Saccharomyces cerevisiae S288C: one gene and its partner. The protein of the gene in region 1 interacts with the protein of each later gene in a biochemical or structural test. Each region holds a gene or a part of one and is shown on either strand. Other genes may lie near its edges.

The links.
Region 2: the proteins of DIG2 (region 1) and KSS1 form a complex in vitro, tested with the Saccharomyces cerevisiae proteins (2 studies listed by BioGRID, with this or other methods).

The regions. Positions count from the first base shown.
Region 1 is NC_001136.10:1,415,194-1,423,594, forward strand, and holds DIG2 (Dig2p), read left to right. Parts: upstream 1-2,205; coding exon 2,206-3,177; downstream 3,178-8,401. Other genes in the region: PEX29 (Pex29p), read right to left, coding at 17-1,681; alkaline phosphatase PHO8, read right to left, coding at 3,357-5,057; U2-type spliceosomal complex subunit CWC21, read right to left, coding at 5,238-5,645; alpha-1,2-mannosyltransferase KRE2, read left to right, coding at 5,964-7,292; VPS52 (Vps52p), read left to right, coding at 7,570-8,401. UniProt on the Saccharomyces cerevisiae protein: DIG2 and DIG1 are negative regulators of the filamentation and pheromone induced mating program. DIG1 and DIG2 inhibit the transcriptional activity of STE12 by direct protein-protein interaction.
Region 2 is NC_001139.9:573,766-579,348, forward strand, and holds KSS1 (mitogen-activated serine/threonine-protein kinase KSS1), read left to right. Parts: upstream 1-1,632; coding exon 1,633-2,739; downstream 2,740-5,583. Other genes in the region: YGR039W (uncharacterized protein), read left to right, coding at 1,123-1,434; BUD9 (Bud9p), read left to right, coding at 3,722-5,365. UniProt on the Saccharomyces cerevisiae protein: Together with closely related FUS3, KSS1 is the final kinase in the signal transduction cascade regulating activation/repression of the mating and filamentation pathways, induced by pheromone and nitrogen/carbon limitation, respectively.

The DNA.
Region 1 (8,401 bases):
GTATAACAAATCAAGTTTATATAGTTGAATTGAGAGTGTCTGTTAGCTCTTCGATTGACGGATAAGATGCATCCGCGTCGATATTGTTGAGATTAGGAATAGTACCGTTTATACTTTCCTCATCAGCGCGGTCATCATCACTACTGTGAGTTAGACCGCCACTCATTGAACCCTTCGTCACGCCATGTACGCCTTGCCTATATGTTTCTTCCCTCAATGGATTAACTACTTCCTCCTCACCAAGGTTTGAAGAAATACCAGAATCCAGTTTTTTCCGCACGCAACTGTTGGTCCACATTCGCCTTCTATATGAGCCCCTTTGTCCATCAAGATTGAGGTCATAGACCCATTTTGTTTCTGAATCTATCTCGACATACTGAATAAATTCGTCCTCTACCCATTCTTTTGGATCCAAATCAAGCACCCAATGAGAATTGGCTTCCCATTCCCAATCCTTAGGTGGCTCAATTTCTTCTAATGACTTCACTGAATTTTCCTCAATACGCCTCTGGTATATTCTCAAACTAGAGAAAAGAGAATAATCGTCATCAGAGAATCCAACTGGGCGCCATTCTTTGTATTCAGGAAGATACTTTTGGATCTCAAAGATCATAACAAGTCGGTGCTCCCTAGCCTCAATGAGTTTCAAATGCTGCAAAATCTTAGATTCCAGATTAGTACTTATAGTCAAAGTTTTTAATCTTGTCTCCTCCGAATTCAATTTAGTCAACAAATATTCACGATTGGACGGATGCGAGGCAATAAAAAAACCCCAACCTAGCAGTATCAGTACGGGTCTCATTGGAATGAGCTTGATAAATTTATCCATGTACAGAAAATTTAATGTTGCTATTATTAACAATACAATAAAATAAAACGACGAAATAGCCTCGTTGGTGAAGAATGCAAACTTTTGTAATATGAGTAAAGTAAAATCGTAGAATTTAACATATAGCAGCATATGGTTTTGTAAATCCGTGAGGTTTAAGACAAATTCTTGGCTCAGTTCAGGGACTGGTTTAGGAACCTCAGGTCTTCGCAAAGGTGGGCCTTGTGCTGGTGTTTGATTATTATCTAGATAGCTTGTAGGGTTTGGCTTATGAATGTAAAGGTATTGCGGGACCATTACGCAGAATAACAAATAGAATATAGGGAGCGAAGAAAGCATTTGAAAAGGTTTCAATATAATGAGCGTGTATAAGAACATGATAGATACTGTATACGCTGGGTTAGTCCAGTTTAATATCTTTATTAATTCATCCATAATCATGAATGGTACCCCTAGTCTCGAGTTCATCTGTATAAAATTCCTACTCGTGATCTGCACAGACAGCTTAGGCCTTTCTTTACCAGCAACCATACGATGGTGAATTGTATCAACAGCCGTTTTGGAAGATGGTGGTAATGCCATTTTGATTATCTTCTCTACCAGGGTATCTGCCATCATCTTTTGGATGTTTGATGTCGAGGGAAAACCGCCACCACTAGTTGGCTGTCCACTGGAAGATGGCAGACTACCACGTGTAGGATCACTAGTTCTAGAACCACTAGATATGCTCTCTTTCTTTGCCTGACTTTTTCCATCTATGCCATTTTGCACTTTCTTCCCCTTGAGAGTTGATCTAGTTGGAGTACCAGCATTATAGGTGTCATTCCAGAAAAAATTTGTCACCGAGTCCATCTAGACGTATATACAGTAGGAGACTGAAATTTTGCTACGTATACAGGTGAGTATATTCATGCGGCCTGATCAGTAATTAAAAATACACACTATTCCTCGTTGTTATTTCTTAAAATTAGTTCAAGAAGAAGGGGTAACCCCTAAGCTTCTTAAGTTCACCACAAAAGTATTACTGGATAGTGAAACAACAACCACCCATAACATTAGTTTCCTAAACACTACGGCGGTATTCACCTAGACGCCATCCTAGAAGGCTACAAAGTGATGCACGTATGATGATATCGGACATTAGAGCGTATACATACAACAGGTACACATAAAATTGTGATATGTCACAGCTTCATCACCCGGCGGACACGTCTATTAAATTATCAATAATTACATAATGTGCAGATCAAATAAACAATAAACATACAGCCATTTAAATTTTGGTTATTAATGTTATTTTTCATTTCTATTGCTTGCAGTGGTATTTATGTGGTATAGTTAAGCCTGCAGGAATATTTAAGCAAAGAGGGAAAATTATGAATAAAGAAGAGCAAGAAGACCCACAGCAAGAGCAAATATCAACTGTTCAGGAAAATGATCCCAGGAATTTGCAGCAACTGGGAATGCTGTTAGTATCTCCAGGGCTTGATGAAGACAGATTGAGTGAGAAAATGATTTCGAAGATCAAAAAATCCAGGGATATCGAAAAAAATCAAAAATTGCTCATATCTAGGCTGTCGCAAAAAGAGGAAGATCATAGTGGTAAGCCTCCTACCATTACGACTTCTCCAGCAGAGAAAACCGTACCCTTTAAGTCGCTGAATCATTCTTTAAAGAGGAAAAGGGTACCTCCAGCGCTAAATTTTTCCGATATACAAGCATCTTCTCATTTGCATGGATCTAAAAGTGCTCCACCAAACATAACAAGATTTCCGCAGCACAAAAATAGCCTTAGGGTCAGATATATGGGTAGGATGGCTCCTACGAATCAAGATTATCATCCTTCAGTGGCCAATTCATATATGACAGCAACCTACCCTTATCCATATACTGGACTGCCACCAGTACCATGCTACCCATATTCTTCAACTCCAACACAAACGCACGCATACGAAGGCTATTATTCCCCGATGTATCCCGGCCCCTTGTATAATAATGGTATAATACCAGCCGACTACCATGCAAAGAGGAAGAAGTTGGCTGGTAGATCACCACACTTGGAAGATTTGACATCGAGAAAAAGAACCTTTGTCTCCAAACACCACAACGGAGACCCAATCATAAGTAAGACTGATGAAGACATTGAATGCTCTGTCACGAAAAATTCATTAAGTGAGGGCGCTTCACTTAACGACGATGCCGATGATGACAACGACAAAGAAAGGATCATTATTGGAGAAATCTCTCTGTATGATGATGTTTTCAAATTTGAAGTTCGCGACGACAAAAATGACTATATGAAAGCATGTGAAACAATCTGGACTGAATGGCATAACTTGAAGAAATGACGAGATTTCACTTCTTCACGCTATAGAATGCACCTAAAACTCGCCTGCACTCCGAAACGAAATGCGATACAGTACGTGTCATGCGGTTAGTATATATACATATATATATATATATATATATTCAAATAAATTATAACGTATTAAATAATATGTGAAAAAAGAGGGAGAGTTAGATAGGATCAGTTGGTCAACTCATGGTAGTATTCGTCATAATGTTGTACTTCACTAGCTATTTCTGTAGCATCAAAATCTGATGTGTGTTTGGTGTCCCTAATCAAATCAGTGACTTCGTTCAGGTTCAATTCTAAAAAGTTTTCTAAGAACTGGCCAACTTCCGTATTTTCGTGATTGCCTTGTAAATTGTTCAAGACATATGACCATGTAGCTTTCTTATTGGCGTATGCATATATGTTGACGTCGACTGCGCTGTGACCATGCGTGGTCCAGCCAATTTGGGCCCTAAATGATACCATGTCATTCAGTTTGTCTTGGATAGCATTTGCGTTGTCATCCAAATGAATTAATGTTTCTAAATCGCTATCCGTGTAATCGTAAATACCCAAATCTTTTTCCAGGATCTCATGTTTGATGAAATTTTCTATTTTGCTGCTTGCGCCCTTATGCTCATGAACAAAATCTACTAGTTTTCTTTTCAAAAACTCACCTGAATGGGTGGCGTTGGCGAGCACCTGTGGATACCAGACATACTGAGGATAGCTAGCAGTGACTTGTCTTGAAGTGACTAAACCACCCGTTTCATGATCCGACGTAGAGACCAAAACAGTCTCCGTATCGGAATTTTCAGCAAACTCCAAAACGTATTGGAATGCTTCATCGAAAGCCAACACCTCCCTTACCTGCGAAGCTGGATCGTTTTGGTGACCAGCATGATCAATTCTGGAGCCTTCCACCATTAAGAAAAACCCATTAGAATCTTTGTCCTCATTGGAAGCTTTTTCCAAGGCACCCAAAGCCACCTTGACTTGTTCCTTAAGGGAAGGATACTCCTTTTCATCTCTGTCAATTTCAAAAGGAATGTCGTTATCTGCAAAGAGACCCAAGAAAGGTAAAGTAACGTTTTCACCGTGGCTTTTCAACAAAGAATCAAAATTTTTACGGTCACCCACGTACTGCCAGCCATTAGATTGAGCCTCATCGATTAAATCTCTTCCATCTTTTCTAGCACCGTGGTGACCATATGGAGAAGCCTTTTCGCCTTGAGGGTAGAAATGGCTCCTGCCGCCACCCATGAGTAAGTCTACTACTCTCCCCAGAGGATATTCGCCTAACTGGTGCGTAGCGATAAGATCTTCCTGCCATCTGTAATCAACATGTGAACTGAATGAAGCCGGAGTGGCATCTGTGATTCTTGTCGTAACAACAAGCCCAGTGAGATAACCTGCTAACTTAGCCGCCTCGAGCACTGTACCACAAGGTCTGTGATGCGGATCAACACCGATGGCCCCATTATAGCTCTTTAATGCACATGCAAATGCGGTGGCGCCCGCAGCTGAGTCAGTGACTAGTGAGTCCGAGGACCTTGTTCTCGAAGACCCGATAAAATGCTCGTCAAGTGTCAGGATGTCGTCTATAGGTAAATCATTAACATGCTGGTTGAATGATCTTGCCATGGACAAAGACGCAGGTCCCATCCCATCCGTCACGAAGAATATGACATTCTTCTTCTTGTGTGATGCAGAACGTAATGCAAAACTGCTTGGAAATGCCAGTTGCACTAAAACCAGCAACAAACCAATACAGACCACAGTGGATACTATTATCTTTGATCTCTTCGAGATCCGTCTCTTTTTAGGACGAGAGCTCGAGTCAGATCCAGGAACAAGACGTGTCTGTTCGCTTGGTAATGTGTGAGTCATCATGCTGCTAATGCGCGTTCAAATAATGTCCCGTATGCTGATATGTAAATGTTTATGTAGCCACTTGCTGGCAAAATGTGGAGCACGAAAAAATATAAACGTTTAGATACACTTCTTTCTTTATATACTAAAATCCCTTTACTTTTCCTCTACGCGCGAAGCTTATCGCTATCGTCAATGCTGCTATTCATGTCGATGCTGCTCTTCCGTTAGACGCGCCTTACGAGGGGTGTACAAAGAGGACATCCGCTGCTGTTCTTGCCACTCGTTCGTCAGTTTTGCCCTCAACGCTTCACATTTCTTGTCAATCTGCTCTTCCGAGAGCGTTTCTTCCTCCTCCAGTCGGTCCCGTAGCTCGCTAACTTGTACTTCAATCTCACGTTTCTCCATATGAGTCTCTATCTGTTTCTGCACAGCAAGAGGCCTGCTTGCCTTGTCATGGCTGGCCTTTTTGATCGCATTTTGTCGTTGTTGCCGCTGCTGTTGACTACCCTGTGGTCTGCGCCTATTGTTGCTAGCAAGTGATCGCTGCACGTGGCCCGACGTAGATGACCCTTTTGCCGACTTGAGCCCTATTCCGTTGTACGACATGACTGGACGGTGATGCAGTAGCTGTTAACCGTCGAATGGTATTGTGTAGAGCTCAAATTAGGATTACACAGATTATAATACCACACTTATAGTGCCATTCTTGAGGTCTTACTTGATTCTTCCTTGCCTTTACCCGCACGCTTAATATAATTTTTCCTTCTTATCTGCTACGCCTTCTTCTAGTAGGAAAAAAAAAAGAAATTTGGTGAAGAAACAGTCTGAAAAGGAGATAATTTGCGATTTAATTCGTTTATACATTTTATGAATCTATAATACTGGAAGTGATATCCATATTCGCAAGCAGTTCCACTCGAAAGCATGGCCCTCTTTCTCAGTAAGAGACTGTTGAGATTTACCGTCATTGCAGGTGCGGTTATTGTTCTCCTCCTAACATTGAATTCCAACAGTAGAACTCAGCAATATATTCCGAGTTCCATCTCCGCTGCATTTGATTTTACCTCAGGATCTATATCCCCTGAACAACAAGTCATCTCTGAGGAAAATGATGCTAAAAAATTAGAGCAAAGTGCTCTGAATTCAGAGGCAAGCGAAGACTCCGAAGCCATGGATGAAGAATCCAAGGCTCTGAAAGCTGCCGCTGAAAAGGCAGATGCCCCGATCGACACTAAAACAACCATGGATTATATCACTCCATCTTTTGCTAACAAAGCTGGTAAGCCAAAAGCTTGTTACGTCACTTTGGTGAGAAACAAGGAGTTGAAAGGTTTGCTAAGCTCCATTAAATATGTGGAAAACAAAATTAACAAGAAATTCCCATATCCTTGGGTTTTCCTAAACGATGAACCTTTTACTGAAGAATTCAAGGAAGCAGTCACCAAAGCTGTTTCTTCCGAAGTTAAGTTTGGTATTTTGCCCAAGGAACATTGGTCATATCCTGAATGGATTAATCAAACCAAGGCTGCTGAAATTCGTGCAGATGCTGCCACCAAATACATATACGGTGGCTCCGAATCTTATAGACACATGTGTCGTTACCAATCTGGGTTTTTCTGGAGACATGAATTATTAGAAGAGTACGATTGGTACTGGCGTGTGGAACCAGACATCAAGTTATACTGTGATATTAATTACGACGTTTTTAAGTGGATGCAAGAAAACGAAAAAGTTTACGGCTTTACCGTTTCTATTCATGAATATGAAGTGACGATCCCAACACTATGGCAAACGTCCATGGATTTCATCAAAAAGAACCCCGAATACTTAGATGAAAACAACCTGATGAGTTTTCTTTCGAACGATAATGGTAAAACATACAATCTGTGCCATTTCTGGTCAAACTTTGAAATTGCAAACTTGAATTTGTGGAGGTCACCAGCCTACAGAGAGTATTTTGACACTTTGGATCATCAAGGTGGATTTTTCTACGAAAGATGGGGCGATGCTCCCGTTCATTCTATTGCTGCTGCTTTGTTTTTGCCAAAGGATAAAATCCATTATTTTTCAGACATTGGTTACCATCATCCACCTTATGATAACTGCCCATTGGACAAGGAGGTCTATAACAGTAACAACTGTGAATGTGACCAAGGTAATGATTTCACTTTCCAAGGTTACTCTTGTGGTAAGGAATATTATGATGCTCAAGGGTTGGTAAAGCCAAAAAACTGGAAAAAATTCCGTGAGTAGAAATCTTGGAACATACTGTTTCTTTGTTTTGACTTTATACTTTCTATTTATATTTTATTTTTATAACTGGTTAAGTACACATAGGACTGCGTATCAAACATATAAGTGAGGCAATCCACATTTTTTTTAAAGATTCGAATATTTTTATTCTCATTAGCGTATTCCGAGAATAGTTCGAAAAAATATAAGGTATATCAAGAGTTTTTACAAGTGAGAGGAAAGAGGAATAAGCTATAAGCAACAAAAGCGTAAAAAAATTAGCTGAAGACATAGAACTATGGATGTTCTCAAAGAGGTGTTGTCACTAGACCAAGATAAATTTGACCAGCTGAAGGAAACGAGCCGAGATAAAACAAATGAAACGGATGATCCTTTTGAAAACTATTTGAAGGATTGTAAATTTAAAGCGCCTTCAAACAAAGATCAGTCACCATTTGCTAAACTTAAATCATTACAGGAAACTCATTCTAACAATGAAGCGGCTATTAATATAATTATTCCTCAATTGATTGATTACTTAACCGAATTCACTAATAGGTTATCAAATTACACACAAGATTTAGACTTCATTAAAAAAAAGTCCAATGAATTACAGTCATTGCTCGAATACAACTCCACTAAACTGGCACATATCTCTCCTATGGTTAATGATTTGATGATTCCTCCTGAACTCATTGATGACATCATTAAAGGGAAGATCAATGAAAGCTGGCAGGATAATATAACATTCATAGCAGATAAAGAAGAAATTTATAACAAGTATAGGTCCAATAATCTCGATCAAGACAACAAGGACGCAGAAAATTCAGCAATGCTAGCACCAAAGGATTTTGATAAGTTATGTCAACTCCTGGACATCCTAAAAAATGTTATTCTAGAAAGGTCGAAAAGACTTATTATTTCCAAAATCAAAACTTTGAGGAGTCATAACCCAGTACCATCGCAAAGGATACAAAACAAATTATTAAAAGTTCAAAAAATTTTCCCCTTCATAAGAGATAATAATCTCTCCTTAGCCCTTGAGTTAAGACAGGCATATTGTTACACAATGAAATGGTATTATAGAGAATACTTTTCTAGATATATCAGGTCATTGACTATTTTGCAAT
Region 2 (5,583 bases), on another chromosome or scaffold:
TACGCATGTTCTTCATAAGTCATTTGTCTTTTGATTTCACCCTGGTCATTTGGAATGATGTCACCGAGATTAGAGTTCTTCAAAAATCTGATGTAAAATTTAACCCATGTAGAAAAGTTTTCTTCTGATGTTAAAGTGTGTGGTGGTAAGACGTTATTTCCCACCTTTGTCTTAGCTTGAGGTATTTCAGAGTGTTGATTTTTTAAATCGATTGGATCAGGTGAGGAAGTACTCAGTGGTGGGATATACTGTGGCAACGGATAGTGTGGGTCCGGTTGATAATACGCAGGTGACGTTTGATAATGTGAACACGTCATCATAGATGGTTGTTGGTAATGTGCCCAGTTAGAGGCCATAGCTTTGTTTGGGGTCATCATGCCGTGCTGTTGGTACTGTCCATTCTGTGGAGGTGGTACTGAAGCAGGTTGAGGAGAGACATGATGATGGTTCTCTGGAACAGCTGATGTCCCAGGTGTTGTCTCTTGTTGAGAATTAACCTTAGTGGAATCTCTATCAAATTCCGGTAAATTGGAAGCTGAAACGGCTAACGGATCTTGATTTTATGGGACTTCCTTAGAAGTAACCGAAGCATAGGCGCTACCATGAAGAGAATGTGGATTTTGATGTAATTGTTGGGATTCCATTTTTTATAAGGCGATAATATTAGGTATGTAGATATACTAGAAGTTCTCCTCGAGGATTTAGGAATCCATAAAAGGGAATCTGCAATTCTACACAATTCTATAAATATTATTATCATCATTTTATATGTTAATATTCATTGATCCTATTACATTATCAATCCTTGCGTTTCAGCTTCCACTAATTTAGATGACTATTTTTCATCATTTGCGTCATCTTCTAACACCGTATATGATAATATACTAGTAACGTAAATACTAGTTAGTAGATGATAGTTGATTTTTATTCCAACAGTATTTATGTTTTGTCATTCTTTTCTACATAATCTTGAAACTAGGTAGATCTACAATTGAAAAGTAAATACTAACATTATTTACTAAATTTAAGTTAGAAATCGGCACGAAAAAAATTTGACAGATTACGAGAGTCCAGCCAAAATATGAGTATATTACTATTTCCCCTTGGTGAAAGAAATGAAAGATGTTATTTTTTACCGGCTTAGTAATACTGAGCTACTTACTTGGGGGAAAGAAAGATTGGCTACTTATTATGTATGAAGCCTCAGATTACCTTGAATTCCTCAACCGTTTGAGCAGTATGCTCTTCAAATTCGAACTTTTTGAACATCTTTCCTCCACATTCCTGATTTTTTCACATTCAAAACGCGCTGTGAAGCTGTTAGAAATTTACAGATCGAGGCATATTTCTATATATAATGTATTTTTATTAAGACACCCAAAGTACTTCCAATCTGTAGATATTGCACTTTATCTGACCAGAAGCCAGACTTGAACAGTTACATATTGTGCTTTGCAGTCGTTAAATTTCCCGAACTGTTTTCGTATTTTTTTTTCTTTTCCTCTTTTCCACTGGATCAGATCAAAAGCCGACTAAAAATTTGGCAATTTAAAGAAAGCATCTTTTAAAGATAGAAAAGGTTATTTCAACAAAAAAGTATCTTTTCTTCACTTTTCTTTCAACAATTCAAAGATGGCTAGAACCATAACTTTTGATATCCCTTCCCAATATAAACTCGTAGATTTAATAGGTGAGGGAGCGTACGGAACAGTATGTTCAGCAATTCATAAGCCTTCCGGCATAAAGGTAGCTATCAAGAAAATACAACCGTTTAGCAAAAAATTGTTTGTTACAAGAACTATACGTGAGATCAAGCTTTTACGGTATTTCCATGAACACGAAAACATAATAAGTATATTGGATAAAGTAAGGCCAGTATCCATAGACAAACTAAACGCTGTTTATTTAGTCGAAGAGTTGATGGAAACCGATTTACAAAAAGTAATTAATAATCAGAATAGCGGGTTTTCCACTTTAAGTGATGACCATGTTCAATACTTTACATACCAAATCCTCAGAGCCTTAAAGTCTATTCACAGTGCACAAGTTATCCATAGAGACATAAAGCCATCAAACCTGTTACTAAATTCCAATTGTGATCTCAAAGTCTGCGATTTTGGACTAGCGAGGTGTTTAGCTAGCAGTAGCGATTCAAGAGAAACATTGGTAGGATTCATGACGGAGTACGTCGCAACGCGATGGTACAGGGCACCCGAGATAATGCTAACTTTTCAAGAGTACACAACTGCGATGGATATATGGTCATGCGGATGCATTTTGGCTGAAATGGTCTCCGGGAAGCCTTTGTTCCCAGGCAGAGACTATCATCATCAATTATGGCTAATTCTAGAAGTCTTGGGAACTCCATCTTTCGAAGACTTTAATCAGATCAAATCCAAGAGGGCTAAAGAGTATATAGCAAACTTACCTATGAGGCCACCCTTGCCATGGGAGACCGTCTGGTCAAAGACCGATCTGAATCCAGATATGATAGATTTACTAGACAAAATGCTTCAATTCAATCCTGACAAAAGAATAAGCGCAGCAGAAGCTTTAAGACACCCTTACCTGGCAATGTACCATGACCCAAGTGATGAGCCGGAATATCCTCCACTTAATTTGGATGATGAATTTTGGAAACTGGATAACAAGATAATGCGTCCGGAAGAGGAGGAAGAAGTGCCCATAGAAATGCTCAAAGACATGCTTTACGATGAACTAATGAAGACCATGGAATAGTATTCACAAGAACATTTCTGCCATACTTCTAAAATTTCCCTATATTCAGCTTAGCAGTGACACGTTGTGGTCTGTAGGTCAATATGTAAGTAAGAAACTTCAACTCACATATGCACGATGCATGCCAATGGAAAAATGCAAGGAACGAAATGGCGCCACGGCAACAAGTTTTTTTTTTTCGCCAGCAGAAGTACACGAAATGCGGCTTCATGAGCCTCTTCACTGCTTTGCCTAAACGGGAAATGCAGAGAAAAACCAGCCATCGCGTGTGCTTGGAGAGCTGACGCGACTGTAATCAAAGAGGCGATATCAACACCTTTTATCCAGCACTATTCAACAGTGAATGGGCTCCCAAGTAAGTCTTGGCATTGTGCTTTCTATTCTTAAGTATTAAGTAGAAGTTTTGTTTACTGGGTTTGTTTATTCCTGGCTAGATGTTCGCATTCGTTTTCTAGTTGACCATATTTACCAAATATTCACAACTAATACCCAGCCAAGGTAGTCTAAAAGCTAATTTCTCTAAAAGGGAGAAAGTTGGTGATTTTTTATCTCGCATTATTATATATGCAAGAATAGTTAAGGTATAGTTATAAAGTTTTATCTTAATTGCCACATACGTACATTGACACGTAGAAGGACTCCATTATTTTTTTCATTCTAGCATACTATTATTCCTTGTAACGTCCCAGAGTATTCCATTTAATTGTCCTCCATTTCTTAACGGTGACGAAGGATCACCATACAACAACTACTAAAGATTATAGTACACTCTCACCTTGCAACTATTTATCTGACATTTGCCTTACTTTTATCTCCAGCTTCCCCTCGATTTTATTTTTCAATTTGATTTCTAAAGCTTTTTGCTTAGGCATACCAAACCATCCACTCATTTAACACCTTATTTTTTTTTTCGAAGACAGCATCCAACTTTATACGTTCACTACCTTTTTTTTTACAACAATTTCATTCTTCATCCTATGAAATGACGAAAATAACCAGAGATGTTTCGATAACGACAGAAAATTCAAAATCCACATCTGGATCGGCAACGGCTTCATCCGCATCTTTACCTGAGAACGACCACCCAATATTCCATCAACCGCGAGCAAGAATAAGATCTGGTTCGCTGTTCATCGAAGGATCTGATTCATTTCCATCATCAGAAGTGAAGTCATACAATGTTTATATTGATGATAGCAAGTATAGTGAAATCCTCAAAGGAGATACAAATTCAAGTAGTACTGATGGTAAACAAGTCTTTGAAGATGCTAGAGATGACAATTTCCATCAGGAATCACATAGAGATCTAGAGGATTCAATTTTAGATTTAGTACGACGAGATCCAGAAGTAGCAGCATTCCCTTTACCTCCGCCAAATTCAAATGAGAGGAACAGAAATTCCTCAAACGGGTCTTCCGCTGAAACTAACCTAAATGGACACAGCAGCAGCGGTACCATCTCTACTTCGGTGCTGTTGAATATGGGTTCGGCAGAAAAGCACGCTGGGACGACCAGAGGAGATCATATGGAATCATCTTCAATGAAATCCTTCGAGAAACTGGGAACCAGACCTTCTTCTTTATTCTATCCACCACCCGAAGGAACTGCGCCGTACCAGGGACCAAGGGCTACCGTCTCCGGAAATAAGTCTACAAGGCAAACACAAGGTACATACTCATTTCCTTCTATGCGGTATGGTGTAGATCTTGTTTCTCCTGTGGAAGGGGCTGTTGATGTAGCAAAAAGCAGAGTTCCTAACAGCACGCTAAATGGTACTTTTCCCGATAAAGCGTTTATCCCACATGAATTTCAAATTCCTAAAAAGGCCTGGAACAGAATACCAGCGAATAAGTCCACTAGCCTCAAAACCCCAAGAAACCATTCCCTATTAATTGACATATTAAAGCCTTTTGAAGCAGCTGACCTTGCTAATGACCAGCGAAGTTCTTCCGCTGTTTTAAAAAATACAGTGCATTCTAATGGGCAGTATAATCCAACTAATGAAACCTCTGGAACTCGAATGCAAGATCAAAGGCAGAAGAATACCAACGAAATTGATTTAGAGAAAATTCCTAATCCTCAAGTCCCTCTTGGTATCGCAATGGACACCATGCGTAGTCCAAACCAACTACACGAAAAGGAATACGAAAGTAATATAGAAGCTGGTTTAGCTTCTGGGGTCGGAAAAGGTGACAATAGTATTAAGCAACATCAATATAAAAAAATTCCTCAAGAAATTGATCGAGATCAGCAATTAAGTTTTCAAATGGAAACAATGCCCATTCAAAGAATAGATTCCTCCTCCATACGTTCATTTGATTCCCGAATATATGGCTTCTCCGAGATTTATAGTATTCCAAGGGTTATAACTACACTGTGCATCTGCCTTTTTGTTCCGCCCTTATTCTTTTTCTTTTCAATCAATGGAAATAATGGCGTTTCAAATTATAGATTAATGAGAATGATAATGAATTATGAACATAGAATCGGCCTCCTCAAAGGGTTTGAATGGGACATTGACGTACAATGGTTCAGGACATTGTGCTTTGTATTAGGATGTATAGAGATGTTAGCTATCTTTGCTAGCATAGGAATAGGATTTGGTGTGGGAATAATAAGAGAGTAACTCCATGCTGGACTTACTCGTCGAAGATTTCCTGCTACTCTCTATATAATTAGACACCCATGTTATAGATTTCAGAAAACAATGTAATAATATATGGTAGCCTCCTGAAACTACCAAGGGAAAAATCTCAACACCAAGAGCTCATATTCGTTGGAATAGCGATAATATCTCTTTACCTCAATCTTATATGCATGTTATTTGCTCTTATAATTGGTCTC